2 linked regions of the Saccharomyces cerevisiae S288C genome follow. Changing the gene in region 1 together with any one later gene gives a genetic interaction. Each region holds a gene or a part of one and is shown on either strand. Other genes may lie near its edges. The genes, in order: ABZ2 and STB1.

Region 1 (17,316 bases):
TACGTGGGGTTAAAAGTAAGTCAACTTCATTGACATATTTCTTCACGCTAGTAGAGGAACCTTGCCTCGATAAGGTTTTGGGGGTATTGAAATTTGAGCGCGATTCTGGAGTGGTGCTGAAACAACCGTTCATCAAGCTATTCTTTGGTGGCTTAGGGTCCAAGACAAAAGTAGAATTCTTTTTCACGAGGCCTGACTTGGATGATGATAAAGAAGTACCGTTTTTGTTAGCGTGAAGATAGTCGAATGTGCCTGCAGGCTTAAGAGATGTCATGGATAATGTTTTCTTCAGAGTGTCTCGAATTCTATTCAATGATCTTTCACGAGAATTAATGGTTCTATCAACGTAAAGGTCAGGCAAATCCATCTTGCTGCTGAAGGCGGTGGAAGTTTCAGAGGACCCGCCATCCATATTTAAATACGCTAGAGTAGTTGTCTTTCTTGATTTGGAAGGAGACCTCAATGTGTGCATGGACGCTGTAGAAGATACCCTTCTTATTGTTGGATGAAAGGAGAAATTCGGCGTGTCCTTAGTATTCAAAGAATTTGAAGTAGCAAAATAATCCTTAATAAAGGGATGCTGTTTCAAATTCTTAGCAGAACGCCTAACGGCCGGGTCAATAGTAAAACAGCATTGAACAAAATTCCAAAATTGTTCGTATTTAGGGTCGTGCATCATTTGTTCGTCGACGTAATAGTCACATTTTGAAATACATTCCAGAGTTTCGTCGTCTGTGGTACAGTCAAAGGGCGTATAGCCGAAGGCCATGAAATATGTCAGTACACCAAGGGCCCATATATCCACCGGACAACCATACTTGTCTAGTTTGCCAACTTGATCAGGAGTCATTTCACCGACACCTTTGCACTTGACGATTTCTGGAGCAATATACGAGATGGTTCCAACAAACTCCTTTAACGAGTTTACCTTACTTGTGTTATATTCAGCAGCAAGACCAAAATCGGCGAGAACTAGGTCGTGTGCCAAGAGATCGTATTTGAAATCTCCGTGGTGTTCACCCTGTAGGTTTTTTTCGTTTTCGTTCACTCTCAATCTGAATAAGACGTTTTCTGCTTTCAAGTCTCTATGAACAATACCTTGAGAATGCAAAAACTCGAGAACGCTCACCAAACAGGCGCAGTACGAGGTAACTTGAGTTTCGAGGTCTAAACACTGATTTTCAACAATTTTTTCATACAAATCTCCCTTCTGACACAGCTGAGTGATCAGGACAATGTTATCTGCCGTCTCAAAATAGTCGAAAAGTTGTAAAATATGGTGATGCCCCTCAAAAATGTCCAAAGAATGTTCATTCTTTTTTTCCATATCTCTGATTTTCTCGCTTATTGACCTCAAAAGGTCGAACTCTCTTTGAATAAGTTGAATTTTGTTCTTGACAGTTTGTTTCTTAATAAGCTTCATCGCGTACAAATCCTTTGTGTGTATATTCATACATTCTTTCACGACGCTAAAATTCCCATCGCCCAAGGAGTTGTGGTTGGTTACGTATTTACATTTGAAGGTTTGAGCGTCTGCATTGCTGCCACTCAGTTGCGGCCAAGGTTTTTCTTCCGGCAGGCGCTGTTGTAGCTGGGAAGCAGAAGAACTAGCTGTAGTCATATCCTGGATGTGTATTTTTCTTTTTGAACTGTTGTAATGTCAATTGTATGAAAATATCGCGGTTTGGCTGAGACAGTCGTGGTAGGTAACTGAAGGAGCAAACAAGAAATTAATAAATAAACAAGTTAGCAAAACAAATAAAAAAACTGTCACTCTAAATAGAAAGAAGTAAAGAAGCAGAAGAAGTCATCCCCGTTCGACACGTTTTCATATTCTGAGTACATGATAAACCCCGCCCTCTTTTTCTTTTTTTAGGAATCCCCCTTTCTATTGTCAGAACAAGAAAGCGGTGTTGGAATTCAAGCAGCTTTTTTTTTTTCTTTTCGTCATACAGTTTCTTTTTCAGGAGTCTTGGTAGCACCCCACCCGTGGAATCGGCGGAATAACCTAACACGTGGAGGTTTTTCCGAGGTGCCAAAAAAGGAAAAACAAAGAGAAGCTGAAATCGGAATTTGAAGAATAGCGTGGGGGGGAGGGGGTTATTCAAGGAGCGCCTGTACCGGCAACGATAGCTTCGGCGGCTAAGATGGCAAACCTAATAGATGTATGTAAAAACATGGATGATAGCAGGCGGTGAACAGCCATGGTAATTTTAGGGAGTGCAAAAGTTATATGTAAGGCTATATCTGTATCAGTTAACAGGGGTGGAAAATGATTTGATAGGCGCAATATGTTTATTGGTAAAAGAGCATCTTAAACCACTTCATTCCATTTCTCACTATCACAAGTGATATATTATGTGTATTTTGCAATCCATGACGCTTTAATGCTTTACAAAGCGCTGCTACTTCTATTTTCTTAACGTAAAGAGGAGTGTATGACGACTAAGAATTGTTTACCCGGCGAGAGTCGATTCTTCGTTACCCGAATTGAAAATTTTTTATTTGCTTTTTCTTTTTTTTTTTTTTTTTTTTTTCAATATTAGCTTTAGCGATGAGATGAGATTTTATAGTGTATACACGGTACTTGAGTACATAGCTATTGGATAACTGTATACTATAATAATTAGATAAGCTGAGCAATATTAACAGGAGAAGTATGGCTACCCCGTCAAATAAACGTTCTAGAGATTCTGAATCTACAGAAGAACCTGTAGTAGATGAAAAGAGCACTTCAAAACAAAACAATGCCGCACCTGAGGGAGAACAAACTACTTGTGTGGAAAAGTTCGAAGAACTAAAGTTATCACAGCCAACTTTAAAGGCCATTGAAAAGATGGGATTTACCACTATGACTTCTGTTCAGGCAAGGACTATCCCACCTCTTTTGGCCGGTAGGGATGTTCTTGGTGCTGCCAAGACAGGTTCTGGTAAAACTCTAGCGTTTCTCATCCCTGCTATTGAACTATTGCATTCTTTGAAATTCAAACCAAGAAATGGTACCGGTATAATTGTCATTACGCCTACAAGAGAGTTGGCTTTACAGATTTTTGGAGTGGCAAGAGAGTTAATGGAATTCCATTCACAGACATTTGGTATTGTCATTGGTGGTGCAAATAGAAGACAGGAAGCCGAAAAATTGATGAAAGGTGTTAACATGTTGATTGCTACCCCTGGAAGATTATTGGATCACTTACAAAATACAAAAGGATTTGTATTCAAGAACTTGAAGGCTTTGATTATCGATGAAGCGGACAGAATCTTAGAAATTGGGTTTGAAGATGAAATGAGGCAGATAATTAAGATCTTGCCAAACGAAGATAGGCAATCCATGTTATTTTCAGCTACACAAACGACCAAAGTTGAGGATTTGGCTAGAATCTCGCTGAGACCGGGCCCTCTTTTCATTAATGTCGTTCCTGAAACCGACAACTCCACCGCAGATGGATTAGAACAAGGCTATGTGGTATGTGACAGTGATAAGAGATTTTTGTTGTTATTTTCTTTCTTGAAAAGAAATCAAAAAAAGAAAATTATTGTATTTTTATCATCTTGTAACTCTGTGAAATATTACGCTGAATTATTGAACTATATTGATTTGCCAGTCCTCGAATTACACGGTAAGCAAAAACAACAAAAGAGAACAAATACATTTTTCGAATTCTGTAATGCGGAAAGAGGTATCTTGATTTGTACAGATGTCGCAGCTAGAGGGCTAGATATCCCTGCTGTGGACTGGATCATTCAATTCGACCCTCCTGATGATCCAAGAGATTATATTCATAGAGTCGGAAGAACCGCAAGAGGCACTAAAGGTAAGGGTAAATCTTTAATGTTTTTAACACCTAATGAATTAGGGTTTTTAAGATATCTAAAGGCTTCCAAGGTCCCATTAAATGAGTACGAATTCCCGGAAAACAAAATTGCAAACGTTCAATCACAATTAGAAAAATTAATTAAATCCAACTATTATCTACATCAAACAGCCAAGGATGGTTATAGATCTTATTTACAAGCGTACGCTTCCCACTCTTTGAAAACTGTCTATCAAATCGATAAGCTGGATTTAGCCAAAGTAGCAAAGTCTTACGGTTTTCCAGTCCCTCCAAAGGTTAACATTACAATTGGTGCCAGTGGAAAAACGCCAAATACCAAAAGACGTAAAACTCATAAGTAATTTCAGAGGATCAATTTTTAATGCTATTAATGTGTACGTGGAACCAACACAACCGAAGTATTCATCTTCTGTTCTCATCGCACTCCTTTTCCTTTCTCTGCTTCTCCACTGTATGTCATTTAAATAAATGTATAAACCGCTGTTTTCTGTTTGTTGTCTTCTACGTACGTTGTCTGTATCAACCTGCACATATTTGAGTATGTAAAATCATGATTTGTAAACTATTGTAAAAAAACTTCATTGATATGAAAATCTGTCGTCTGCTCAATATTTTGTCTTCACTGTTCCCTTTATGCATCCCATGACGCCATTGAAAAGCAAAACTTCGTTGCCAACGGTAAGGCTTCCTATATCTATATCTCCCTCTTCAATAAGGCCGAGCCGCAATAAATAATGACGCATTGTTCCGCACAAACATCCAGTTGCTAATCTTGGTGTCACATACTTTTTAGAACCGTTAGGATCTTTTTGAATTACAGCCACGTTTGTTATTGAACCTTCCATCAGCAGGCCAGATTTGTTGGAAAATAAAATTTCGCATTGCGAGACAGAAGAAGTAGGTTCTGAACCTCTTAAGTTATTTATAGCAGTTTGCATGCGAACTCTCGCCCTAGCGTAATGATCTCTTGAAGTGGTTTTAAAACTGGTGAAAGCTGATGCGTTCAATGGTTCAGATGAAACAACAACATCCCAATTTATTGTGCTATCAATTAAAAATCCATTGAGCATCGTTTTGATGAAGTATGTGGAAACACTGTCATAATCGGTTGTTAATTTTAGGATAGGCTCCATAGGCATTGGAATTGCCTCAATTCGTATATCTCCTGTCTTAGAGACAAGTACCCGCATTTTATAGCATTGCCTTTCGTTGATCATTTTTTGAATTTTTTCGTGATACTCTGAATTTCCTTCTTTACAATTAATCAAGTTTTCAACCAATAACTTCAATAAATCATTCAGAGACGTGCTGAAGTCAATTTTAAAGTATGATAATGCTATTCTTATTCTTTGGTATTGTTCATCTAATAAAAAAAATCGTTCATAAATGACTTGTAGCATATCTTCTACACGCTGGCACACAATGGTCTTGCAATCATGCTTCCAAGCATCAGGATGCTGAATATTTTCGAGAAGGTCACCGCCGGAATTAACCTCCCTTACTCGTAAATAACTTGAGTAATCCTCATTAATTATCTGCTGCCTAATATCTTCGTCTCTCAAACCTAATCGAGGGTCTGGAGTTTCAAAGATCTCTTTCTTTGACGCTGACTGGCGTGCAAAACCAGGGTCGTACCTGAAAGTGGCCAGAACCTCGAAGTTCGGATTAGCAACTAGGCCTCCTTCATCGTAACTTTCCATATCAGTCTTCCAATTGTCCATTAGTGACATCTATTTCTTATTATCCATGTCTCGCTCTTCATCTTTCTTTTACTCACTTTCACAAAATTTTTTCCTGCCCTTTTTTTTCCAATAGCAGGTTCTGTTTATATTTCATCATAATCTATGAAGGCATCGTGACGTGATGATATAGGTGTGTCAAGTAAAATATTCTTACAAGTTGTGGTTATTTATATGCTCTATATATATTCACAGAACTAAATCCAGTTCTTCTATATATTCTTCATTGTTGTCTGGTGTAACGGGGTAAAAAGGTACCATGGCGTCCTGGTACATTACGTACATGTTATTATACACCCTCCAAAATGCTTTCCTTACATTCTTCGCTGGATGGAACAATCCTGCCCATATGTAGTTCATGAATAGTCCAGGGCCAAGAGCTTGACTCAGTGCCTCCAAACCTTCTAAAATACGCATAATAGCATGTGGTGAAGTTTCAAAAATATTGGGTATTAGAAGATTCATTAAATGAATGAAGGCATCTTCGTGACCTGTACCTGAACAGTTTAAAGCTAAGTGGGTTATTACGTTCGACGCTGTCTGACGATGAACTAAATCCCTATCGGTGAGTGCATCTTCTAATAATGGTGTTATGAAGTATATGTAATCCTTAGACATGTTACCAATGTACTCAAACATGAATGACATGGCCTTGAGAACACCGTTTTGAACATTAGTCTCTGGTGTTGTGTATTCATTCATGATTACTGGCAGCACGTTGTAAGGACCACACACTTTAGCAACGATACCGATAGCAACAGCCGTGCATACACGTAACTGACGTTCTTGAACCTTTAAATTGTTCAATAACGCAACAAGAACATCGTGAGGTCCAATTGCTTCAGCAATGAATCCAAACGTGGCATTTGCTGATCTTCTTATTTCTTTATTTGTACTTTTCAAAAGTTCTAATAGTTCAAAACATATTCTCATCCATTCTTTAGGAGGTGCATAGGTAGGTGCTAATTTACCAATAAGTCCAACAAATTTGATAGTGTTTACTTCGACTTTTCTATGCTTGTTTCTTAAAATTGGAGTTAAGGTTGGTAAAATTTGATTAATAGGAGGTTGTAGTTTATCCAAATCCATTACGCTAGTAATACAGTACATAGCGTTGATTATAGAACCTAATACCTCTGGATATACTTCGCCTAAGGATTCATACAATATAATGTTCAATTTATTCAACATTTCGAATTCGTGACAGTTCTTGATGACTGGTATTAGTATGGCACATAGATCTGCTGCATGTTGACGAACCAAGGGAGTTTTATGCTTTAAATGATTTAAAATCGTACTCACAATGGGTGCTAAAAACGGTTTCATACGGATGTCAAGTGACACCGTCACTGCCCCAAACCCTTTAAAGATTATAGAATCACTATTTGTTTGTTCTTGAAATGCTATCAAGAGCGCATCAATAAGCCTCGTTTCTAATCTCTCATCTAAATCTGCTGTCCCTAATAAGTTTACTGTTCTAGTAACAGCATGGACAGCCATTGTTCTGAACGGCTCAGCTTCATCTCTCAATGGTGTTAATAATTTATCAATGGTATAAGAACAACCTAATTTCTTTGCTAATGTAACAGTAGTATATGTAACAACTTTGTTTAATGGTCTATCCAATGCCACTCGTCTGACCCAAAATTTTTGAAAGAATTCTGGCGCGATTTCTTCTCTCAGAAATTTTGGCGTTATGGATTCTACAGCGCTACATTTTTGTAATACTAAAAGAATGGTCTTTTTCATTTCATCATCGGGAGAGTCGAATTCACGTCTAATTATTCTCATTGCTTCTGTGGTATAATAACCGGCATACTCTGGGTCCATCAATGGGATCATAGATCCAACAGCTTTTAAAAAAGAAGATAGCACTTTACCACGATGACTTCTTATACCCTTCCATAATGGCTCCAGTACAACGTTGAAAACTTCGATACCATATGGATAAGAATTTTCTGCTAGTGTTGATAAAGTATGTGCTGTAACAATTCGCACCGGAACGTGATCATCCATTAGGCAGTCTTTGATACAACTCATCAGCCCAGTAAGATGATTCAAGACACCTATTCCCAAAAGTATACCTATTTGCTGCACAATTTTTATGCCAGTATGCCTTGCTTTCCAAGACTTCCGTGAGTGGCATGCTGCATTGATGAAAGGAAGCAATTGATTAACACCAAGGGCTTTTGCCACCACAGCCGCCGCTCTTGAAGTTACATTTCTAACATACTCATCCTCATTCTCAATATCAGGTCTCATTACTGTTAGAATGGTTTTTAGGCCAGCGACTGTAGACAGATTGGTGATTATCTCCTGGCCTGTTGAACGAACCATTGGATCTTCATCTATTAGCAATGGGGCAGCTACTACAAGTATTTTGTGAACGTAAGGTTTTGTTAAATCTCCTAGCTGGTAAAGGACGCGATCTATGGTCTTGATCATTAGATGTCTTTCCTGGTCTTCCAAACTTCTGTCTAGTAATATGGGCAATAAGCGGTTAAATATCATTTCTGGACCAAATGTAACAGCTTTATCGGTTAAAATCCGCATAGAAGTCCTCCTACTCGCTGTATTGCCATTTTTTATTTTCAGAAGTAACATCGACAGGGTTCTTTCTTTCTTTTCATCCTTATTTAACTCATCTATGGGTTTTTTGGATATAACGTCGGCGAAATATTTATGGTCAGAAGGTTTAAAAAACATCAAATCATGGATTCCTTCTACATTAACCAAAGCACTATCAGAGTTTTCTTTGACCGCTGTTGAAGATTCATCAGGTGGCTCGTACCCTTTTACATCCCAACGAGATTTTCTTTTCCTTGGCACGACAGCGTCTTGGGTATTTTCTGAAGACGTAACAGTTTGTGTATCGGAATCCGGCTCAAACTTCATATCAAACCTTCTTTTGTGGTATGAATCCTCTCGATTTTGCACTGTCCTAGTTTCCATTTTTTCCTGTAGCACATCTTTTTCGTTCTCACCAATACGTGCAGCTTCTTTCTGCAGGTTTTCCCTCAAATCCTGAGGAATAGAATATTGACCGCCTAATTGGTGGCTCTTATCGCTATTATTAGCGTTTACAAATTGAATCGGATGACTCATGATGACAGGTCCTGGCTTTCTATGTTTATTATGTATAAGTAATTGAAGAGATGTTTCAGTTCTAACTCATCGAGAAGGAGATTTCTGCTCGGGCAAATATCAATGCAAACCCGAATAAGCTTAAATACTAACAACGTGCCAAATAACAGCAATCACGTCTAAAAAGCTTTCAAGAGACGATAATTGGTTGTGCATATCTGTCAGCGGAATAAATAAAGACAGGTGATGGTAGTTAGGCGGAAAGTACATGTTCTTCTAATTGCAAGGAGCTTTCATTCCTACACACCTTGCTTCAGAGTAACTACCAGAGGCAAACGACAGCGAAGTAAGAGTAAGCAGCAAGCAAAAGTAGAACTAGATCACACACGAGAGCTAGATAATGATCAAGCTACAGAGACAGTTGTAGACCGTTCGGTTGGACCGGAGAAAGATATAGAATCAATAAACAAAGACTTTCTGCAACGAACAAAAGGATTAGAGCCTGATATTGAATTAAAACAACTGCCTCAAATTAAACAGGAATTTAACCAACGTTATAAAGATAGGTATGTTAAACCTTCCGAAGATTGGTACGTAAACTCCTGGAGGTCTTTAACAAAACCAAAAATTCCGCTTTACAAGTTAATAAATTCAGATTTTCAATTAATAACAAAACTGAAAGCTCCAAACCCAATGGAATTTCAACCTGTTCAGCTAATGGAAAGTCCCTTAAATGTTGGTGACTTTGTTCTTTTAAAAATGAGACCCAATGAATTGGCGATGTGTGTAAGTCTTCCAAGTAGCACTATGGATCCTCGATACACTTTTGTTACTATTGATGGAACTATGTGCTTTGCGACCAAAAACCGGGTGTTATTGAGGATTCCTCACAAATTACCTGCTGGAATCCATTCACTTATACAGCCTGAGAGCCATCACAAACATTTGCCAATTGGAACCGTTAAGAACTTTTCTAACCAAACGAATATTTTGCCTATTGTAGCAAGGCAGCTAATAACAAGTAGGTATCCAGCCCAAATTTCAAAGTTGGCCTGGAAAGATTTGCCCATTACTACCAAAAAATTACAGTTACTCCACAGATCATTACAAAATTATATGGGTCCATGGCAGATTCCTTTTTTTACCCTAGTCGGATTAGTTCAGAAATTGGATTTAAATAAAGCCTTGGACGATAAAAATGGAATAAATTACTTAACTAGTTTAGTTAATAACTATCACACTGTAAACGATATACCAATAAATTCACCTACCTTTGTTTCCACGTACTGGGCGATTATGCAACAACAGGAATCGAACCTTTGGGGGGAAATCCATCTGAATACAGCGTTGCTGTCGCCTATATCAGTAACGATTATTCCCTTAAAATCACAACATTTATATTATGCGCAGGTGATAGAGAAGCTAGAAGCCAACAGTTATAGAGAGGTCAATAAGTTTGTAAAATTGGTGAATGAAAGGAAATATCGCGATATATCAGCTTTATATCCTTCTGTGATCCAATTATTGAAAGATTTTGCTGCTGGGAATTTTCACAATAACGGAATTATAGTAGCTTTGATCTCAAAAATATTCAGAAAGATAGAACGCTATAAGGATTGTGACATCACAAGAGATATATGTCAAGATTTAATCAATGAGATAACACCCAACTCAATACCCAATCCATTGTTACTTAACATGGATTTAGCATTACCTGCTTCCTCGAAGTTAGTGAAATGGCAACAAAAACTCTACGACTTAACTAATATAGAAGAATTGCAATGGAAAAAATCCGGCACTGATGACGATAGGTACGATTTTGGCGATCTTAGGGTTTTTTGTATAGACTCTGAAACTGCGCATGAGATTGATGACGGCGTGTCGGTGAAAAACTATGGTAGAGATGGACTGTACACTTTATATATTCATATTGCGGATCCAACTTCTATGTTTCCGGAAAGCACTAATGTTGATATTGAGGGTATAAGTACAGATATCCTAAATGTTGCCTTGAAAAGATCATTTACCACATATTTACCAGATACGGTTGTTCCTATGTTACCTCAATCTATTTGTCACTTATCAGATTTGGGGAAACAAGGACAAAGGACGAAAACTATATCCTTCTCTGTTGATGTTAAAATCACTTCTAAATGCAGTGGAAAATCAATTGAAATTATGTATGACAGTTTTAAAATCCGGAAAGGCATTGTGTCCAACTTCCCAAAGGCCACTTATGAAGATGTTGACAGGATACTCGGTACACCCAATAGCGAAGCATCACCTGTCAAAAAGGATTTGGAAAGTTTGTCCATGATTTCCAAATTATTGAGAGAACAACGTATAAAAAACAGTAATGCTGTTATTTTCGGGGAGGGCTTTAATAAGGGCCTAGTGATGCTAAACGCCGATTCAGAAGGAGAACTGACTGAGGTAACATTTTCGGATCAAGAGGAGACGCTGTCTACCATTTTGGTTTCAGAAATGATGATCTTGGCGAATACTTTAACGGGTAGATATTTTGCGGAGAACAAAATCGGTGGTGTGTTCAGATGTTATAAACAGTTACCACTGGGCGAAGTAGCACAACAACAGTATGATTCTATGATAACAAGTACAAAAAAAGGAATTTTTCCCAAGCTAAAAGATATCGTTAAGCTTTCTTCATTGTTGAACTCGAGTTTTTATACAGGTCGACCTTTTAGACATGAAATGATTGGAGCTAAACAATATTTGACAGTAACATCCCCTCTTCGTCGTTTTCCAGACTTGATAAATCATCTACAAATTCACCGTCATTTGCAGAAAAAGCCTCTATGTTTTAATCAAACACAAATCGACAGTTTGATCTGGCCAATTCAATCTCGAGCGGATATTTTAAAAAGGGCTAGCCGTAATTCGTCGACGTACTGGACACTGAATTATTTAAAAAAGCTAACCAAACTAGAGCCAGAAAGGACTTTCGATGTAATGGTAACATCAGTACCGCAGAACGGATTTACTGGATGTGTTTTTCCAGACTTATCGTTCGCTAGAGGAACATTAAAATTGCATCCAAGTTCTATGCATTATCCGATGATTGGAGATATCGTGAAGAATTGTAAAATTTCAAAAATTGACTGTTTAGAAGGAATGTTAGAGTTGGAAAAGCTATAAAAAGGGACTCTTTTTCCAAATATAAAATTCAATAGACCATGCATAATTTTCTTCTTGTAAATATATACATACATAAAATATGAAATCGAGATAGTGTATTGATTTCTTTGTATCAAAAATTGCATAAATTACTATTAACATATGTGCCTATGCAGGAAAAAATAATACTATATACATATATAAGTCAGGAATATCAAGAAGAAAGGAAATCCAGTTGCCTTATTTTCGCTGTTTCAGTCGATGGTTCTCTTCTCCACTATAAACCCAGGGTTTGACTTTCTCAACTCTCGTTGCTGCGATGGTGTTAATTCATGTTCTGTTACTTCTACTTTGACTAACTCTTTTACTTTAGCTAGGGAGCCAGCTATGGCCGGGTTTACTTTTTTGTAGACTATGGACCCTCTTTTACCTAAACCCAAACTTTTGACAATGCTCTTCGTTGTGTGTGGCACACCGATAAGCGACCTACTCAACGTGACTTTGTAAAACACCATTCCTGATATCTGCTTTCAACGTGTTTTAGCTGGTCCATCAATATTGATTCCATCACCTAACTTTTGGGATGATATACTTTATCCTTAATATCTAGAAAAGCTCTTCGAGAGATATTTCGTGCAGAAAGACCATTCATTTTTCAAAAAATGGTTGCACTAAAGCAAGAGGAAAGGAAAAGTAGTGTTGCAAGAAGATGAGATTGTAGTCTCCTTATAGCTTCTTAATTGTAGTTAAGAGTATTAAGTAAATATGACACAAGACAAAGAAGTCAAAGTGGTTGCCCCAGATGTTGCGCCCGACCAAGAAGTAGAAATTAATAAATCTGTAAAAGATGCAAAACATCAAACCAATGATGATTCGTTACTTCAACATAAAAAGAAGGGCAAGAAAGGTAAAAAATCGAAGCCCATAGTGACCCCAGAACATATCGCTAAGGTTCGTGCCGAAAGGGAAGTTATGAGAAAGGCTAAAAGAGATGCAATGTTGGCTCAAGGTGTTGATCCGGACTGCCCGCCAGAGCTGCATTTTATCAGAAGACCTTTCCTATCTCTACATGAGGCAGAGCCAGTAACTGGATTTAGATTCAAGCTAATGACTTATAATTGCTTGGCGCAAGCTCTAATCCGCAGAAAGCTGTTCCCGGATAGTGGTGACGCTTTAAAATGGTACAGGCGTTCTAAAGTTCTCTTAAACGAGTTTAAATATTATAATTCCGATGTCATTTGTTTGCAAGAGATTGATCATATTCAGTTTCAAAGCTTTTGGAAAGATGAATTCAGTAAATTGGGATACGATGGACAATATTATAGAAATGCTACAAAAAACCATGGTGTCGCGATAATGTGGAGGAGAGAATTATTTCACCAGGTTGACAAAATGCTAATCGACTATGATAAAGAAAGTTCAGAAAGCATTTCCACTAGAACAACGACAAACAACGTGGGATTAGTCTTAGCCTTGAAGTTTTCTGAGAAAGTACTGTCGAATTTGGGTAAAAAATCGTCTAAAAAATGCGGTATCTTGATCGGCACTACGCATCTATTTTGGCATCCATTTGGTACTTATGAACGAACAAGACAATGCTATATTGTTTTAAAAAAGATGAAGGAATTCATGCATCGTGTGAATGTTTTACAGAACGAAAATGATGGGGATTTATCTCATTGGTTTCCTTTTTTCTGTGGTGATTTTAATTCCCAGCCGTTCGACACACCATATTTATCTATGACATCCAAACCAGTGCACTATAGAAACAGGGCAAAGACCGTCATTGGGTGCAGCACTTCATATAAGTTTTCCAAGGTCCGTGATGGCGAAGAAGGTGCAGATGACGAAGAAGGCGGGAATATTGAAAAATATGGTAAAGATCAACCTGAGAGCCCCGTTCCTGAAAAATTTCATGCTAATGAAGAACAGTCTGAACTCGTAGATAAAATGGCACAACTCCATAACTCATTGGATATGAGGGCTATTTCACTATACTCTGTTGGGTATAAGAATGTTCATCCAGAAAATGCAGGTCTTGATAATGATAGAGGTGAGCCTGAAATTTCAAATTGGGCAAACACTTGGCGTGGTTTATTAGACTATCTATTTTATGTAAAGAAATGGGACCCACAAAGTAATTGTCAGGAAGTGGAAACCCTTGGCGATTTTGAAAAAGAAAATAAAGTTAAATGCAGAGGTTTTTTGAGAATGCCGCCCGGTAATGAAATGACAAAGCATGGACAACCACATGTTGGAGAATATGCAAGTGATCATTTGTCTATGGTGTGTGATTTAGAGTTACAACTATAGATTACTGTCGTGCATAAATATCTTGCTAATAGTTGTACAGTACAACGTTTAGCACGACAAAAGTTCTTAATAATAAATATTACATCAAATACCCTACCCTACCAAATATTGTATGTAACGTTATAGATATGAAGGATTTCAATCGTCTTTATATATTGAATTTCGGCTTTTTATCAAAGGGCTTCTTTTCTTCTTTTATCGAAATGTTATCATCGTTAAATTTTTTGTAGAACATATTCCAGATTTTAACATATTTATTTAGCCTTTGGATGATTGGATCTTCTGACTTCTCAGATTCTAAAATTTTATTTCGTATATAATATAGTTTCCTTAAAGAATCGTCCTCACGCATCATTCTGTCTTTTTTAGTATTAGGTGTCTCATTTTCGTCAAAAGTGGTTTCAATTTGCAACAGGTAATCATGTAAAACTTTGTAATGTTTTTGTAATAGTGGGTTTTTGAAATCGGATGGGTTATATCCATCCCTCAAGTTAAAGTATCCCATTATACTTTGAGTTACTTTTTTCATGTTATCATAATCTAGTTTATGTTCAGAGCCATCATCATAGGATAGTAAACTAGGAAATTTTCGAATTTCGTCTAGGAATGGAACCCTGTAGAGATAAAATCCTTCGTTGTAGTCCTTCACGCTTGAGGGTGATAACGTATATAGTGAAGGATGTGAATTTGATTTAAGCTTCCCCCATAATATTGCAATTTTATCTTTTTTTCTCAAAATTTTTAATAAAGAAGCCAAGGTTCTTATCGAACCTTCATATTTTGCTTCATCTGGTACGATAAACGAACTTTTGTCTATGTTATTGAAATAGTGTATCGATTTGCTCGATGAACGGAACCCAATAATCTTCAAAAACGCATCTTTTTGAGTATAAGCCTCCATTACTATCTGATCTTGACTATCTGATAGATTGATATCGAGGTCACCATAAGGATAAACCTTGACAGTTTTACCAGTAACGTCTTCTCCTGTTATAGGATTTAAAAATTTTCTTTTTGAATATGCTTCTTGTCTGATATCTTCATGCTCATAAACAAGTTTATACCTGACTCCAGCTTTTTCATGGGTATACATAGTGTAACCCTTGACTCCGACTATAAAATTTGTTTTCTCATCCAAGATTAATGGACATTGAAACATTATCCTCTTTACCTCCTTTTTCCTTAGGATTCTGGACTTGATGTATTTAGCATCTATAGGCTTTGTACTTGGACCATCAAATTCAGAATCCAAACCAGTATTCTCATTTGTATGTGAACCCAACTGCAGTATGTCCGAATAAAACTCGTTGTCAAATGGTTTATCGGCATAGCCAATAAAAAAAGTTGCAAAATTCACTTTGTTATCAAATAAATCAATTGTAAGCCTTCTCAATCTTGCCCGTTCATCGATATCTTGCGCCTCTTGTGGTTTATCAATGTCAGTGAATAAGAACACTCTCTTGTTGCTTAATTGCTTTTGACCCGGAATCTCTTCCAAAAAAGTGTCAAGCATGAATGTGAATAATACAGATAAGCGCACTTGCTTTTCACTCCCAGTTTGTTGAAACATAAAATAGTCGTATAGGCTTATTCTCCCCGATGATAAATCTTCTAAAAGATCGTTCAATTTCTTCATAAATGTAGCATTTATATCCCTTAATGGAAAAAGTTCATAGATACCTTCCTTGGCATCCTCTCTGTTACAGTAATAAAAATAGCAACCAATAGCTGTCCCAGGTCTTGTTATGACCAATTGTGACATTAGCTCATCTAGTGATTCCAGAATTTCCAACAATGGTGATTTATACTCTAGATCAGAGGACTCTTTAAACATTGTCTCTGATAGTTCAATGCAAAACAAAATTCCTTCATGGATATCAAACTTCCTATAACCTGTTTCATCCACTTGATCGTTAAGTTCTCCACTATTGCCAAATGCATTAGTGACTGAGCGCATAATATTCCCGTTTTAAAATCAGGCTTAGAGTCACTTAACAAATCATAGCTTTACTGTTGAAAACTAGAACAGTAATACAGAGAATGTCATTTGGTAGCTACCTTAAAGCAATCCCTAATACATGAAATTGAGAATCTTCAAAAATTAAGGTAATCAAAAGTAAAAAAATATCTCCCGGGGGCGAGTCGAACGCCCGATCTCAAGATTTCGTAGTGGTAAATTACAGTCTTGCGCCTTAAACCAACTTGGCTACCGAGAGTCAATTAACTGATAACCATTCAATTATGAGTCCGTCTAATATCATGCTTATTCACAATTTTAATATAAGCAACCTTGCAGAAGTGACCTGTTGTCAAAACGGAATATCAACTTGATTGAGGGGATGATAATTATCCTATATATTCTATAAATATGGATTATACTGAATATTGGGTGAATAATTTGATAATTGTTGGGATTGCATTGTTGATCAAGGCTATATAATATTATGTACACAGAATATATTAGAAGTTCTCCTCGAGGATAGAAATCTCAAAATGGAATCTATATTTCTACATAATAAAATTACGATTATTCCTCATTCCGTTTATATGTTTCATTATCCTATTACATTATCAATCCTTGCACTTCAGCTTCCATTATACTTGATAACTATTTCTCAATCCTTATTTTATGTTTTTCCACCGCATATTATAATATGCCAGTAATATTTATTCTTATTAATGGTCGTTAATTTCACACCAGGCGTGTTTATAACTGAGTAATCACTTTAAATTTGAGCATCCGGTTTTGCACCGTTAATAGTATCATTGTTAATTAGTAGGCAGGTTGTAGTATATTCTAAGAATAAAACAGGTGCCCTTAATCTGTACAAGAGAAGAGTATGAAATATGAATTACATTGGGCATATCGACTATACGCAATATATCAGTAGCTTCGACGATTTAGGTAGGTATAAGGGTTTCCTATACCTGTATACACAAATTTCAAACTTATGGCCGAGCCAGATAGTCCTTTAGCTATGCCTTCCATTACTTCTTGGAAAGCTTGTTGCATTTCCCGTCATATTATGTACGGTTACAACTTTTTTGTTGATTTCCATGCCCGAAGGGAGCTTAGCATAGCCGCTATTACATAATCTTATCATCTTCATCAAAAATGAACTTCTAAAATCATCCCACCACTCTATTGCTCTTCATATATGCGTTGTATGTTTATGTGCTTTGTTCTTATTACTGCTTAACTGTGACTG
Region 2 (17,155 bases), on another chromosome or scaffold:
AAAAATCACTGACACCCTATTGAAGAACGATTTCAAAGAAGAAGAGTGGGATAACGTGGTAGCTGAATTATTTAATGAAGAATTTTATCAACAAGAGGGAAAGCCTACCTGGAACGAGGATGACGAAATAATGGGTGACTTTTATGCAGACGCCGATGGTGATGACCAAACAGAAGAAGGTGAAGTGGAAAAAGAACAAAAAGAAGAAGACGAGGAAGAAGGTCCAAAAAGAAAGAAGAGCAAGAAAGAAGAGAAACTGCAAAAGAAGAAAGAAAAGAGAAAGGTAAATGAATTAGTGGAAAATGCTTTGGAACAAAACAAACTAGCACTAATAGAGGAGGTTGAAAAAGAAGAAGAAGAAAGAAAGAGTAGAAGCCGTACAAAAGAGGAGCAAGATTTGAAGTTTCGTTACCGTGAAGTTTCTCCTGAGAGTTTCGGTTTGACCGCAAGAGAGATTTTCGCCGCCGATGATACTGATTTAAATGAATTTATTGGTTTGAAGAAATTTGCACCTTATCGTTCCAAGGAACTAAGAGCGAAGGATAAAAGGAAAGTGATGAAGGCAAGAAGATTAAGAGAGTGGAGGAAGAAAACTTTTAAGAACGAAAATGGGTTAGCTCCAGTCGAAGCAGAGGCAGGGGAGAAGGATGAGGACACCATACTGATACCTGTAGAGAAAGCCTCTAAAAGCAAACACAAGAGGGGGCACAGTCATAAACATAAAGGCCACCAGAAAAAGTAAACTAGGTGAAATATCGGCCCTGTATATTACGATACATAAGCTTACATAGTGATAATCTATCTCCGAATTTCCCTAAAAAAGAATGTCATTTTACGTATTAATATGTAATTTTATAATTTCAACATTTGTCATTTTTGTCCCTTTGAGTGGTCCATTTCAGGAAGTATGGAATCATCAACTGATATGGCCGTCAACGATCAATCAGTGAGTTTGTCATCAATGGACTCCCCTTCGCCTATACGGTCGGTGCCGGGTCCTACAATGAGCGGGATCCCGTTTGCGTTCATATCTAGAAAATTGTTTGTGGTGTGGCTTGATATAGCAGCTGTTGCTATCGCAGAAGTGTTGGAAGATGATCCGGGCACCATCGCTGGAACAGAAGGAATTGAAGCTGACGTGTTTGACGCTCCCTGCTGGGCGGGGACCCTTGGTGAAGGGCTGAAAAGATTATGCAGATAGTCTCCCATGTTGAAGTTGGGCGTCCTGAGTAAGTTAAAATTGGTACCGTTCAATTCTCTTGAAGGCGTGGTAGGTACGTTACTAGGTGGATGCAATGTGTTTGTGGTGGGCTTTCTTCTCTGCTGTGGCGATAGTGTCGCCTGGACACTACCGTTATTATTGCTCAAGTATAGTGATGGAGAATCCATGAGAGATTCGTCCGGAAAATTCGGTAACAGATTAGATTTGAAAGTGGACTGCGGAGAAGACGCTGAAGGTTTGATATGAGAGAATCTTACTGCATCGTTTGATGTGCTTGCTGTATTACCGTTCAAACTCAATTGCGACGCGTAATGATAAGAGCGTGGAGTAGTGGGCATCCTTACGGCCATCGGTGTTCCATGATGTGATGACTTATTATATGGACTTGTGGCTAAATACATTAAGAGATCAGCGCCCGCAGTGTTGTCGCTGTCCTGTGGAGCATCCTTAGAGCCTGCTGCCTTCTTCTTGATATTATTATTGTTATTGCTATGGTTACTGCTGTTGTTATTATTACGTTTTGGCGTCATGAAATTCTTATCATGGGGGCGCTGGTAGTGTGACGAAGCGTGTGGTAAGATTATAGGTGTAGCAGAAGCCCTCGGAGTAGATGGAGTGTCCTCCTTCCTAGGCTTGATCTGCTGTGAGCGGTCTTCGGCTTTTCGTTGGCGTGAACTTGGGGGAGTATTTGGCTTCTCTACAAATTTTACGGGCGATATAACAGTCATTTTATTTGTATCATCGTGGAGAGGCTTTTTCGCAGGCGATATGGCTTCCAAAAGAGTTTTGTGGTCCTCATCAACATCTTCGGCATCCTCTCCGCTTCTTTTCTTTGTTGTAGAGTCCTGTTTTCGTTTTGTTGATGGGACATTACTTAAACCAAGCTTTAATTGACGCGTCATCTGAGCCAACTCAGCTCTATGCAAAATCTTGGAGGCCAATTCTTGCTCTTTTTCAGGGGACATCTGGGGTTGAGACATTTCTTGTATGCACAATGGGAACACTGATTGAAAATAGTAACGCTCTACGTACTCCTTCTTTCGATGATATTTTTGGTTCCTTCTGCACTTCATAATTGTAATTTTTTTTTCTTGCATTTTCGCGTGATATCAAAATTATGAGAGGAAAGGTGAAAGAGCGTCATGTTGGCTTCAAGGGATCAGCGATACTAAAGCAGCACCGGTGCAACTGGAATATCAAGAGACTGAACATGATTCCGAGGACTAGAACACTACTGCAAAGTAAAATACCAATTACCAGGTACTTTGCCAGATGTTGGGCGCCTCGCGTACGCTACAACGTGTGCCGTACTCTACCCGCAGCAGCGTTGCATACCAATATCATCGCACATAATGAAGTGAAAAAGGACGATAAGAAGGTTCATTTGGGGTCTTTTAAGGTAGACAAGCCTAAGATGATGATAGCTTTCACCTGCAAGAAATGTAACACCCGATCTTCACACACAATGTCCAAGCAGGCGTACGAGAAAGGTACTGTCTTGATCTCTTGTCCGCACTGCAAAGTGAGACATTTGATAGCAGACCATCTGAAAATATTCCATGATCATCATGTTACCGTGGAACAGTTAATGAAAGCTAACGGAGAACAAGTTAGCCAAGACGTGGGCGACTTGGAGTTTGAAGACATCCCAGATTCGCTAAAGGACGTCCTGGGAAAATATGCCAAGAACAACTCAGAAAATGCATCCCAGCTCCCTCACCCTTCCCAGAAATGAATGAAGAGCTCATGCACAGGCATGTACATAGATAGATATATAACCGTTAAATAGCACGTTTTTCCAGAGACTGAGTCATGATTACTGCCAAAAACCCGCACATCACATATTTTTTTGCGATAACCAGCAGAAGATTTAGGACTAGAGTACATAAAGATGAGCCACTGCTAGATATGAAAAGTTGAACCGCATTTTCAAACGTTCAAACCAACCGAATCATGAAACGGTTGCAATTGTTTGGTAGATCAAAATATTTCTCGCTGGTCTCCAGTGCTGCGAAGGAGGAAGAAGAAGAGGAAGAGGGCTGTGCTGATGCCAAAAGCCTTCTACATAGTACGAGCCATGATATCAAATCGAGATCACTACGCTTCAACGATAAATCGTCCCTCATGTGTTTGCCAACAAAAGTTCTACTGTTAATACTGCGAACTTTGGACTTCAATACATTAGTAACACTATGCCAAGTCAATTCGAGGTTCTACAATTTGATTACGAATGAGTTCCTTTTCCAAAACGTTATTTTGGACTCAAAACTTTCGTTGTTAAAGTTCAATGCTTTGATACACTCCGAGTTCCACACGTCGAACATTGTCACACACAGCGGTGATTGTAGCACACAATCTAGATCACAAAATGCAAGGTTCCTCGTAAGATCCATCGAATTCAAAAATCCTCAGTCCCAAGACTCGTTGTTAAAATACAGTAAGTTCTATAATAAGAGTGGCCAAGATTCTATTATTGCTGGATCTTATAAACTCGATTCGTATGATAAAGACGTAAAAAAACTGAATAACATCAGACTAAACGATGAGACTCCCATCATAACTTCAGAACGAATCAAACTGCTTGATAAATTGGAAAGCAACTACTTCCATTATACTTATATTGAGCTAATGCTTGATATTATAGACTATCTACCGAACCTGACCAGAGTGATTCTGAGTGATGTGGAACCGAATTTTAAAATTCCTTTATGGTACTCTGTATTCAACGATGGATCTAGAGATTTTTTCAAGAAAATAATCAAGGGCCAGCAATCCATCACAAACGAAGATTTGAGGACTTTCCAACTATCCAAAAAATTTGTCAAAGAATACGAATCCAAGTATTATTCTCTGCCAAGGTTGAAAATACTGGAAATCAAAGCTAATAATAAAAGACAAAGAACCTTTAATCGTCAACGCCATCACCAAAAGCTCGTACTAAGACCGAGTTTATTCTGCTGTTTCGGCATAATTAATGAACTTAAACTAGAAAATGTAACGATAGACACCGAATCGCTAGATACTCCAATGGAATTCTTACCACTATTTCTAAAGAACGAAGATAATGAACTGTACAGTTTACAGTCTCCTATCACTGCACTTACTTTAGATTCATGTGATGTAGTTCCTGGAAATGGAATATTACGTTTGTTTCACTCTTACTTTAAAATGGTCAAACATCTATCCTTACTGAAGATTAACAGTAAATTCGACTTATTGTTATGCAGTTGTTTCCCATCGTTATCCAATCTAACAATTGATTGTAATAGCAAATGTTTCACTAACGAACAGGTAGTCGGCGAATCATATTATTTCCAACAGCGAAGTTTGGATACAGAAGATGATTTTGATGACTGCAATTCCATGACAGAAACATTATTTGAAGCGCCATCAGATTCGAAGATAATTACTCCTCCGCCGACATCTTCAGTTGTATTGTCCTTAAATCTGAACTATATTTCTAGAACTACAGGAAATGATGTTTCAAATAACCCATCACCAGACAATAACAAAAAGCCCGCCATGTTAACTGCGGCACAGCTACAAAATTTTCAACGACAAAGAATCCCTGAATTTCATTCTTTCTACCATTATTACCGCTTACTTTGGGAGAGACTTCCAAGTAAAAATATTTCTATTAACGTAATCAATATCCCCTTTACCAATGTGTATCCTTTATCCCCTCTATCGTTTTGGGAACATCTAGCAAGAACAATTACTAGTGTTGATGAGACAGATGAGGATGTTGGCGACGAGAACGATCAAGAAACATTAATCGGTTACGAAAATAATTCCATAAGAGATAACATACCAAATGCTAATGCAGTTCCAAATTTAAGTACAGTAATGAGCCCTGAATCAGACATTCACCACACTTACTATTGGAACAACTCTGTAAGGCGTTGCCTAAGAGATAGTTTAATCAAATTGAAGAACCGAACCATCGAATATAGAGATTTAGATGTGGAGGAGTTCTTACAAAATGTGACATTGGAAAATTTTTTCAATGATTTCCAAGATCCAGAGAATTTTAAAGATATTCCAAATATTAACCTCTGGTGTTTCCTGAGAAATTTGTCAAAATTCAAAGCTGTCAAAATAAGAATGCTGAGACATTTTTCATTATGTACACCTAGAACCAGATACGACTGGGAACTATTATTGAAGCCCGTACTGCGTGTAAATGTTCCCATTGAAGTCAGAGATAAGGACGGATTCGTTCTTTATTCTTACGGGCAAAAATAAATGACTTTTTGTAGTGGACTTTATATAGCATATTTATGCAACCAACTTAATATTCATGCATCTTACCCCTTCTTGGAACGGGTTCCATTTTCCACTCTATTTCCGGCAAATTTTGGTACTTACCTAGTAGAAATACACAAACGAATACTAAGAAATGCTAAAAAAATAATCTATATATTTTCATAGGGCAAAGAAGTTATTGTCATCAAAAGTTGGGTAGATAAAACCCTGGTCAGTCAAGGTCGTACAGCAGTTTCTGACGGTAGTTTCATCCAAATTCAAGGATTGCGAGATCAATGGAATGGGAACAGCGAATGAATTAGCGTCTTTGCCCTCACATTGCTTCTTACAAAATTCTAGAATTCTTTGTAACGGACTGGAGCCGGAAGATGTATCGTTATCATCCTTGACAAATAATGATTGCCCATTGTTGTTGGATGCACTCTCCAAAGGTTGTTTCATCATTCCACTGGCTATGGAATGACATTTGATGACTTCCAAGTGATGCGTCAACACTTCATTGAATGAATCTATGGGCTTAATCACCGCATACTGTATATTTTTCTTACCACCAAACTCTTTCAAAGCACCAAAAACTTTTACGTAACCGCCAATTTCAAATTGTTGGGCGACTTGCGAACCATAACCTTTACCAGAAGAGTCATCGTTACCGGCAGCCAAGTCATTTGCATCTTCGCTCCATTTTCTCACTTCTATTTGACCAGTTCCATCCTCAATAGTTAAAAAAATATTTGCAGTATGGTCTGTAATGTTTCTCACCACACCTACAAAACAAACGTGATGAAGTTCTTGGTTATGCGAAACGAAGGGGCCGTCCTGAATATCCTGTTTGGACTCTAGAATTTGTTTGATCGTCACAGGTGTCAAGGTGTTAACTCTAGTGTTAGTTTCCGACTCCCCACTACCTGGGCGGGACTCAGAGTTCTCAAAGCCACCGCCCGTTACTGATGAATATTCGTTATATGGTTGATAGGCTGTATTGGAATCCCATCCATTGTTAGTAATTTTAACATTCGCCAATAAAAATAAAAAAAATGATGCAGAAAAGAGCAAATCCTCCAATTCCTAGCACTAATACATACTTGCCATTATGTATATGCTTAAACTAGCCTGTTCTAGATAGTCGCTATCGATTTTGCCACATTACTTCCACCTTAAGTTGATATAATATTGCTTATTATAAAGGAAAGAACGCGTTTCCTAACGCGTTTCGTATATGGCGATAATTATCTAAGAAACTTCGCATCGTGAAAAAAAAGATGAAAATTGAAAATGGAAGCTCATCGAGGCCAAAGGAATTGCTAAAAAGAAGCTATCAGACCAGGCAAAAAGTAAACTAGTGGTTGCAAAATTATGGAGACGTTATTGCATGCAAAATTATTGCTGTCTGCAGAAGTAGAATCTCTGAAAAGTGGTTCTTTCGACCAGACATATGTGAAAAAGGCTGAACATATCATCAGTGGTGAATCATACCAGCTAGTACAGCAATTTGTGGACAAATTTAAGGGAAAAATTAGTATTTCGGGAGAAATATCCACATCTAGTGTTATTGCTGCTCTAAATGACTTTCTTAACGTTGAGGTTTTCAAAATGGGCCAAGAAAATGAGATGCTATTTTTGGCTATTGCCCTCTTACAGACCTTTATTCAAAATAACTACACCGGCCCAGCAGCTAGGTTGAAAGCAATCTCAGGTTTGTTTGGCAAAACTGGAATTGAAATAGGAGCAGTTAATACAGCCCTTTCCCGCTCATTAGCCATTATGGGCCAGCCTGCCTACGAATTTATGGATGATCCATTGTATTTGGTTTTATCACTATTATTACTTGAAAGGATAACCGGCCAAAAAAGCTTATTTGATGTTACCCCGGATCAAGAAATTCCGCTACCTATTATCTCTGCTGAGTCTACTCCTGGATTATTAGCTGTAGCTTATTGGTGGTGGGCAAGAGCTCTTTTGACGCAATTGTCACTGATTCCAGAACCTTCTGGGTTCCAAGCTAGTGTTGCATCTGCAATATATCAGTCTGCTGACCTTGCATATGCGATAACTAAGGAATTACCGGAGAGTATTCACGAAGATTTCAAAAGAGAACTTTGTGCAATGTACTATCTAGAGAATGTCAAATGTTCATTGGCCATCAACACAGAACATTTGTGCCTGCCATCCTTGACCAGAGCGAAAAAGATAACAAATTTTGAATTTGTAATGACGGGTGCACGCGCTACTAGAACTAAATATCAGCAAAAGGCTCATGCCGGTTTGATCATTCTTGCCAAATCCTTCACATTTCAAAATTTTGCTTTGAGAACGACATCTGCTACACCAGAAACATTTGCTTTAGAGTCCGATCTATTATTGGAGAAGCCTCATTTTGAGTCCATTGCTGATGAACCTCTAGACGAGCAAATTTATAGTAAAAGACAAAAGGTAGACCTAAATGAAGGTTATGAAGAAGATAAACTATTGCCATTGGCACTACGTCAAGAAAATATTCCAAAGTTGTTGCTGGATTTGAACCCTAACGATCAACCTACCCTATCTGATTACGACAACATCCAGTTGCTGTTACGTCTTTACACCATAAAGAACACAACTCCGGCCAAGGATCCTCTTGTGGAAGAAGAACTTACTGCTTTGCTTTCTAGAATATTATATCAAAACGGTGACAAAAATTGGTCTATTTTCGCCCGATCATTATGGGAAAGGTCAATTATTGAGACAACAAAGGCTAAAACTATTGAAAGAGGACTTTTACAAATGCAATCCCTCGTAGAAGAATTGGATTTGAAGATTAAGAGTAAATTGGTTCCAAGTTCAAGCGAAATCAATGTTGCTAGCAGGCTGTCATACATCCACCAGCTGCCGTTCATCCCTAGGTGGCAATTGGATGCCACCTTAGCTGAAAAATATATGTCGCTGGGTATTTTGAAGTCCGCTGTGGAAATTTATGAAAGACTTGGTATGGCATGCGAGACTGCATTATGTTATGCCGCTGTTGGAGATGAAAAAAAGGCAGAAGAAATCCTTCTTCAAAGAATAAATGAAAATGATTCGGATGCCAGGGCTTACTCCATTTTGGGTGATATAAAACAGGATCCATCCCTATGGGAAAAAAGTTGGGAGATTGGAAAATACGTCAACGCAAAAAATTCCCTTGCAAAGTATTACTTTAATCCTCCTCCAAAGTCTGGAGCACAACCAAATTACTCTGCTACCTTGAAACATTTAAATGACTCGTTAAGGCAATACCCATTAAGCTTTGAAACGTGGTATTTTTATGGTTGCGTTGGATTACAATGTGGTAAAATGCAGATAGCTGCGGAGGCATTTACCAGATGTGTTTCATTAGACCCTTATCATGCTCTTTCATGGTCAAATTTGAGCGCTGCATATACGAAAATGGATAAATTGAAAGAAGCTTATAGTTGTTTGAAAAGAGCCATTTCATGTGACGCTCAAAAGAACTGGAAAATTTGGGAGAATTACATGCTTGTTGCTGTTAAGTTGAATGAGTGGGAGGATGTCTTAACTGCATGTAAACAATTAGTCAGTATTAGGAGGGACAAATCTGGCGAAGGTTCCATCGACTTACCAATTATTGAAAAACTAGTAGAACTATTAGTGACTAGTGAATATCCAGAGGAGCCGCAGCAATTATCTTATTTTCAAAAGAGCTGTACTGAGTTTATCTGTAACACTTTACCTCAGGTAATTACAACCAGTGCAAGATGTTGGCGACTGGTCGCAAGAGTAGAACTTTGGAGGAAGAGACCATGGGCCGCCCTAGAATGCCACGAGAAGGCTTATAGGGCCATTTCTCACAATCCTGATTTAGAAGTTGAAGAAAAGGTTTGGAATGATACAGTGGATGCTTGTGAAGATTTGGTGGCTGCCTATGAATCACTTGGTGAAATGGAAGGTAAATATGGGCCAGGCAGTCTGGTTTGCAAAGACTGGAAATACAAATGTAGATCTACTATCAAAGCTCTAATGAGTAAAGGCAAAGGCAGATGGGATGACTCTCCTGGTTGGGATAGGCTAGTGGAAGCAAGAAGCCAAATATGAAGAGCACCTTTCATGTATAATCTGTGTATATTACGTAATGTTTGTATAAATAGATACATATGGACATGAATCAAGCATATCTAATAGAAGTTTTTATATTTTATCTCCTTGGCTGGGTGGTCTCATCTGTGAAAGGAGAGCCTCAATTATGTTGAGCTTGTTTAAAACTTTACACTCAAAATCTTCTTGCCTTTTCTTTATCACCTCGAGTTCGTTGTGAAGATAATCTAGACATATTTCCAATTCCATATTAGAGTCCGACCACGATTGCTCAGCAGCCATTTGTGGAGGCAGTACTGTCTCGCTGAACCTATTTGTACCCTTGTTTATCTTAGGGCTTTTGATGACTTTCCCGACGTCGTTATCCTTAGACAGAATCATGGGGATTGTGTGAAGAGTAGGCGGAATTCCAATCGTTATTGAATCCAGGGGCAGCGGTTGTGAGCCTGAATGCTCATCGTCGGAGCTGTGGTTATTCGGATGTTCAGCGGATGATAATTGTTGAAACGGATCAGGCCCCGGATGACTTTTAATGAAAGAAGATGATGATAAGGATGAAGATGATTCATTTCCGAATTTAGTTCTTGGTCTTGGATGTTCTGGTGCTTCGTCCAAGAGTGCTCCCATCAGCTTCAACTGGGAAGGAGAGAATTGGGCTCGATCTGCGCTGAAGAGGTCCTTCAGTCGACGAAATTTGGTTTTTAACGTCCTTGATTGTCTATATCTTGACCCAGTCTGTCTGTTGTACTCATCGAGCACCCTTTGCCAGCTATCTTGTCTGTAGGCATATGGTTTCAGATGAGGTTTGTGCCGTATCAGTAGTCGTAGAAGCAGCTCCACAGGATCCACCGATTCATCCATTATGGTTGGCTCCGCCTAAACCTTTCAAAGTATCGTTAAACCATGTTGTTATCAATGGTTCAACTCACCCGAATGGAAATAACGCTTATTTTGACGCCGTAATCGAAGGATGTGAAGAACTTATCAAGACTTGAAAATAGAGAACAAAAGAGATTTAAGAATAACTATGTGGAGACTAACCAGAAAAATCGGCACTAGAATCCATATTTCTAATCAGCTGTCGCCCATTTTTAACAAGGCAATTGGAACAGTTCCTGTTTTTCGTTTTTATTCTTCCAGCCCAGAGCAGAAGTATAGAAAGAAACTTTTGGAAGAGGCTCAAAAACAAGGTTTTAACAGCATAGAAGAGTTGAAAAATCATTTGAAAGAGACTATAGAGTCTAAGAAGCGGGAATTTAATAAAATCGACCCCCTGAAAGAACTAGAGGATTACCAACAAAAAACTCAAATGGAAAATAACAACTCCAAGCATTTGATGACGAAATCAAGAAGTCCTCTCGATCCAAGTGCTCCTAAAGTTCCCTTCAAAACATTGGACTCTTTTTTGGATGTTGGAAAACTGAAGGACTTATCGAAACAGGAAGTAGAGTTTCTTTGGAGAGCAAGATGGGCACAAAAAGATAATACATTATGCGCTGTGATTCCTGTCTCCGTTTATGATAAGATGATGGCAAATGCCAGGAATAACCCTATATTCGTGTTGCCACTTCCTAGACAAGTTCAATCTGAGGATGCAAAACCGAACGAAGAACAGGGAATGGAACTACACTACATCCAATGGCAGTTTGTCGGACCCCAAACAACACATTGTATGATGACTTCCCTAGCAGAATACAAACTACACCAGGAATTTGCAAGGCCACATACTACCTTGCAGTTCCATTCTGATTTGGTCAAGGATAAGGGAATTGTTTTTATGAATGGCCATGTTGAACCGGATACAAACGTGAATGTACAGGATGCACAGCTGTTATTGCTAAACGTGCAAAGGTTTTATGGTGCAATGGGTGAAGAAACTCCAGTTGCTAAACAGAGAGTGCAGTTGTTAAGAGATTTCTCTAAGGCCTCTCCGGGATTCACCGTCGAGAAATTGATTTCGCTATCACAGTCCATGGAAAATTAACGAAGAATTACTTCCGTATACGTATATATATATATATATATATATTAATGACACCTGTAAATAAAATACGTACTACATCATCTGCGACAAGCGTACAGTTTCTTTACACAGTTATCAGCATGACTCTTGTATTTTCATAATGAAAAATGAAAATAAAAATTTTAGTAGATGAATATAATACGCAGAAAGAACAGGCTAAAAAAGTACGAAAAGCAACTTCATTATATTTCCGCATTCATCCTTCAATTATGGCCAGCAAGACTTTGAGGGTTCTTTTTCTGGGTCCCAAAGGTACGTATTCCCATCAAGCTGCATTACAACAATTTCAATCAACATCTGATGTTGAGTACCTCCCAGCAGCCTCTATCCCCCAATGTTTTAACCAATTGGAGAACGACACTAGTATAGATTATTCAGTGGTACCGTTGGAAAATTCCACCAATGGACAAGTAGTTTTTTCCTATGATCTCTTGCGTGATAGGATGATCAAAAAAGCCCTATCCTTACCTGCTCCAGCAGATACTAATAGAATTACACCAGATATAGAAGTTATAGCGGAGCAATATGTACCCATTACCCATTGTCTAATCAGCCCAATCCAACTACCAAATGGTATTGCATCCCTTGGAAATTTTGAAGAAGTCATAATACACTCACATCCGCAAGTATGGGGCCAGGTTGAATGTTACTTAAGGTCCATGGCAGAAAAATTTCCGCAGGTCACCTTTATAAGATTGGATTGTTCTTCCACATCTGAATCAGTGAACCAATGCATTCGGTCATCAACGGCCGATTGCGACAACATTCTGCATTTAGCCATTGCTAGTGAAACAGCTGCCCAATTGCATAAGGCGTACATCATTGAACATTCGATAAATGATAAGCTAGGAAATACAACAAGATTTTTAGTATTGAAGAGAAGGGAGAACGCAGGCGACAATGAAGTAGAAGACACTGGATTACTACGGGTTAACCTACTCACCTTTACTACTCGTCAAGATGACCCTGGTTCTTTGGTAGATGTTTTGAACATACTAAAAATCCATTCACTCAACATGTGTTCTATAAACTCTAGACCATTCCATTTGGACGAACATGATAGAAACTGGCGATATTTATTTTTCATTGAATATTACACCGAGAAGAATACCCCAAAGAATAAAGAAAAATTCTATGAAGATATCAGCGACAAAAGTAAACAGTGGTGCCTGTGGGGTACATTCCCCAGAAATGAGAGATATTATCACAAATAATATGTTATATAGTCTTTTTATTTATGTATCCTAAAATCTCGTCAAAGCGCACTTTTATATGCTTAAACCTGGCAATGTGGAACTCTTGATGTTTGAATCGATGCCTGGGATTTCTTGACGCGGTTTCTTGTTGATGAATCCATTCATGTTTGGTAACGCATGTGGTTCAAGTGTAGCTGGTGGTGGCGGGGCCGCACCGAATTCACTCTTCTCTCTCACAGCATTGATGTCGTTATTGATGCCAAAAAACCATCCATTTATCTTCTTATTGTTATAAGTTGGATCATCATATGCATTAGGATCAATTGGCCTCGCTCTAGTCCAAAATCTTATGGTTCTATCCTTAGCTGCTGTGGCAAATATATGTCCTACTGGATTATATGATAACGAGGTGATACACTTATCATGGGCGTATGGAATAGTCAAAATAGGTTCGTTTAGATTTTGTAAAAGATCAAAATGCTTTAGCGAGCCGTCATAGCACGCCAGAGTGAACATAGATTCATTTATTGGGTGCCATTCTAGTGTCATATAATCCGTTTCATCTCTTACACACATTAGTTCCTTCATACTGTATCTAATGTCGAACACACGACACGATTTATCTTTTGAAATCGCCATTAATAGATTTCCCTTGGTGGGTTGAAATCGCGTCTTCAAGACAGTATGTTTGAACTTCAGAATTGATGATATGCAGTTTCCGGAACGCGGATCCCACAGTTTTACTAAATTGTCCTTAGATGCGGAGGCAATTAACCCCATCTCGGGATGCCAATCACAACTTTTCACGTCCCAGTGGTGCCCCGATAATACTCTTTCTTGTTTGCCATTGCTGAAGTTCCAAATCTTCAAGATATTATCATCTGAACAGGTAACAAATTTCGAGTCGTTACTACTGAATGCCATATCCCTAATACTTTCCGTGTGTGCAGCATCAATTTCTTTAACCATACTAAAGTTTGGTTGCCATATCTTAATCATTCCATCTGCGTCCCCACTAATCATCCAATCACTGTCGTGAGAATATTTCATTGTAGTCACAGCCGAATCATGTGCTTGCATGAGGGTTTCAAACGTAAACGAAGATGCGTTCCATAGAGAAAATTCTCCGCTATAAGTTGCTACTACAAGTCTTCTGCCTTCTGGGGTCCATTGGATGGCGGGTATCACATGTTTCACTTTATTCGAGCTTAAATGCGTAAATTTGCTGGGCAAATTTATGACTCGATCTCGACCTCTGTAGGCATTAGGCGGCATTATATCTATTGTGTATGAAGTTTCTGGCTCTACCACTAGGTTCGGTAATCCATGTCGTCTGTTGTAATATAGGTTAATATACGGAGAACTCACGTCTACCGATCGTCTCTGTGTCACATATTTCTTCAGAGGTGGTTGTTGTGACTGCTGAATTTGATTCTGATTCTGGTACTGGTTCTGATTATGCCCGTCCATAACGTGTCTATGTTGAGCTTCTTAATATCTACCCAGCAACCTGTATATCAGTGCTTTCTTTAATTATACTTCCCTTGACAAATCGATACGTCGGCCCTCAAAAGAAGAGGAAAAAAAATAGAAAAAAAAATAGAAAATAAAAATGTCAGTAATTCTAATGATGACACAAATTCAAATAGCAACATTGAATACTGTTTAACAGAACAATTAACCACTTTTAATTAGAAATACTAACAAAGAATTTGTTAACGTATTCTTAGGAAGTAAAGTACTTCAATTATTGCTAGAAATGACTGCTCAGATTCCGTATCAACATAGCTCGGGATACATCTCTCATTTTCACAATAATGAGCTTGATGCAGGCAGGGGAAGGGATTATAATGTAACCATTAAGTATCTAGATGATAAAGAAGAAAATATAGAAGGCCAAGCAGCAAAGATTAGTCACAATGCGAGTCTGCATATTCCCGTTTTATTGTGCTTGGTAATCTCGCTTGGTGGCTTTATTTTTGGATGGGACATTGGAACCATCGGTGGAATGACAAATATGGTTAGCTTTCAAGAAAAATTTGGCACAACTAATATTATCCATGACGATGAAACAATTTTTGTATCTACTAAGAAACTTACTGATCTGCAAATAGGCCTAATTATCAGTATTTTTAACATCAGTTGTGGCGTAGGGGCTTTAACTCTGTCAAAAATCGGTGATTGGATTGGTAGGAAAGGTGGTATATGGTTTGCCTTAGTAGTGTACTGCATCGGTATAACCATTCAAATTCTCTCCTATGGAAGGTGGTATTTTTTGACATTGGGAAGAGCCGTAACGGGAATCGGTGTGGGAGTAACCACTGTCTTGGTGCCAATGTTTCTCTCCGAGAATTCTCCACTAAAAATCAGAGGCTCCATGGTATCTACGTATCAATTGATTGTAACATTTGGCATACTAATGGGAAACATTTTAAATTTCATATGCGAAAGATGTTATAAAGATCCTACACAAAATATAGCCTGGCAATTGCCATTGTTCTTGGGATACATTTGGGCAATTATAATTGGAATGTCACTTGTTTACGTTCCTGAATCTCCACAGTACTTGGCAAAAATCAAAAATGATGTGCCCTCTGCTAAATACTCTTTTGCGAGGATGAATGGCATCCCTGCGACGGATAGCATGGTAATTGAATTCATCGATGATTTGCTGGAAAATAACTATAATAATGAGGAAACTAACAACGAATCAAAAAAGCAAAGCTTAGTTAAAAGAAACACATTTGAATTTATTATGGGAAAGCCAAAGTTATGGTTGAGACTGATTATTGGTATGATGATAATGGCATTTCAACAGCTGTCCGGAATAAATTATTTCTTTTATTACGGAACGTCTGTTTTCAAAGGTGTCGGGATTAAGGATCCTTATATTACTTCAATCATACTGTCAAGTGTTAACTTCCTTTCTACGATATTAGGCATATATTACGTGGAGAAATGGGGCCACAAGACATGTTTATTATATGGTTCAACAAATTTATTATTTTATATGATGACATATGCTACTGTGGGGACATTTGGAAGAGAAACGGACTTCTCAAATATTGTTTTAATTATCGTGACTTGTTGTTTTATTTTTTGGTTTGCAATAACATTGGGCCCAGTTACATTTGTACTAGTGTCCGAATTGTTCCCTCTAAGAACGAGGGCCATATCAATGGCTATTTGCACATTTATCAATTGGATGTTCAATTTCTTAATATCACTTTTAACACCAATGATTGTATCCAAAATTGATTTCAAACTAGGATACATATTTGCTGCTTGCCTATTAGCGTTGATAATATTCAGTTGGATACTAGTTCCTGAAACGAGGAAAAAGAATGAGCAAGAGATCAATAAAATATTTGAACCGGAGTAGATATTACATAATATAAATAGAAGAAGTAGCAAAGTGCAGTTTTTTTTTCCATAATAAATAACCATCAGTAACTAAGTGGCCGTGAGGACTGACCACATTTTCTTTACATACAGTAAAGTAAATAAATCTATCAAATATTTTGATTATTACTTTTAGATAAAACCCTTCTCTATTAGAAAATCTCTTATTATATCCCAGTACCCATCTTGAATAATAGTATCATTGTGTGAACCAAGTGGAAATTCGAAAATCTTTTTGTTCGAACTAGGACATGTTTCGTACAGTTTCCTCATGTGGAAGGGTGGAACGATTTCATCTTTTAATCCACTTAAAAACAAGAATGGCGTCTCTGAACTACAGCTTCCCATAAGGCCTTCTGAATTCCAGATTTCGTGACATAAAAGCGTAAAGCGTTTCAAAAGGGGGAAAATATATGGGATAACTTTTCGAATACTCAAAAATGTATTCTCCAGTATAACGCCATCGCATAGATCCCGAAATTTTGAAGCAATGTAAAGAGCATTAGCACCACCTAGAGATCTACCATACAATACTAGTTTTCTCTTTGAATGGAAAGAATCCGTTGACAAATGCGATATGACACAATCAGCGTCCAATTTCAAACCCTTTTCGCTGGGTGAACCTTCTGAGTTACCATAACCACGATACGAATAAATAAATACACTCATTCCAAACTGACGATAGAAAATGTCAATTATTAGTATAAAGTATCCAATATTACCGGCATTGGGACATAAGATCAACACAGTACTTGTTGAGTTTTCATTCTTGATATCCCATGCCTCGAGTTTAATGTGGTCTTGTGTAATTAGGGTTAGCTTTTCATAAGGGATTCCACGGGAATCAGGAGTGTCAACATGATTCCTGGCGCCTTGAGCCCATGATGGGTAGACTAGGCGATTTTGGTAGTGATAAAGGGTCGCAACCGATATTGTTGTTAGCGCTACCAAGCCACCCAAGAACATCTTAGAAACTTT

What was found.
Region 2: mutations in ABZ2 (region 1) and STB1 together harm fitness more than expected from each alone (negative genetic interaction), as found in Saccharomyces cerevisiae (2 studies listed by BioGRID).

What each region holds. Positions count from the first base shown.
Region 1 is NC_001145.3:836,935-854,250, reverse strand, and holds ABZ2 (aminodeoxychorismate lyase ABZ2), read right to left. Parts: upstream 5,567-17,316; coding exon 4,442-5,566; downstream 1-4,441. Other genes in the region: protein kinase TDA1, read right to left, coding at 1-1,621; ATP-dependent RNA helicase HAS1, read left to right, coding at 2,660-4,177; U2 snRNP complex subunit HSH155, read right to left, coding at 5,765-8,680; DSS1 (exoribonuclease II), read left to right, coding at 8,906-11,815; mitochondrial 54S ribosomal protein uL30m MRPL33, read right to left, coding at 12,049-12,309; NGL2 (RNA exonuclease), read left to right, coding at 12,560-14,107; ATP-dependent DNA helicase YKU70, read right to left, coding at 14,256-16,064. UniProt on the Saccharomyces cerevisiae protein: Converts 4-amino-4-deoxychorismate into 4-aminobenzoate (PABA) and pyruvate.
Region 2 is NC_001146.8:37,709-54,863, reverse strand, and holds STB1 (Stb1p), read right to left. Parts: upstream 2,203-17,155; coding exon 940-2,202; downstream 1-939. Other genes in the region: KRI1 (Kri1p), read left to right, coding at 1-742; ZIM17 (Zim17p), read left to right, coding at 2,433-2,957; putative SCF ubiquitin ligase complex subunit SKP2, read left to right, coding at 3,176-5,467; RFA2 (Rfa2p), read right to left, coding at 5,648-6,462, 6,571-6,577; tetratricopeptide repeat-containing protein EMW1, read left to right, coding at 6,842-9,556; DAL82 (Dal82p), read right to left, coding at 9,650-10,417; ATP11 (Atp11p), read left to right, coding at 10,584-11,540; prephenate dehydratase PHA2, read left to right, coding at 11,789-12,793; cleavage polyadenylation factor subunit PFS2, read right to left, coding at 12,848-14,245; HXT14 (Hxt14p), read left to right, coding at 14,535-16,157; and 1 more. UniProt on the Saccharomyces cerevisiae protein: Involved in the regulation and timing of MBF-dependent transcription in late G1 of the cell cycle.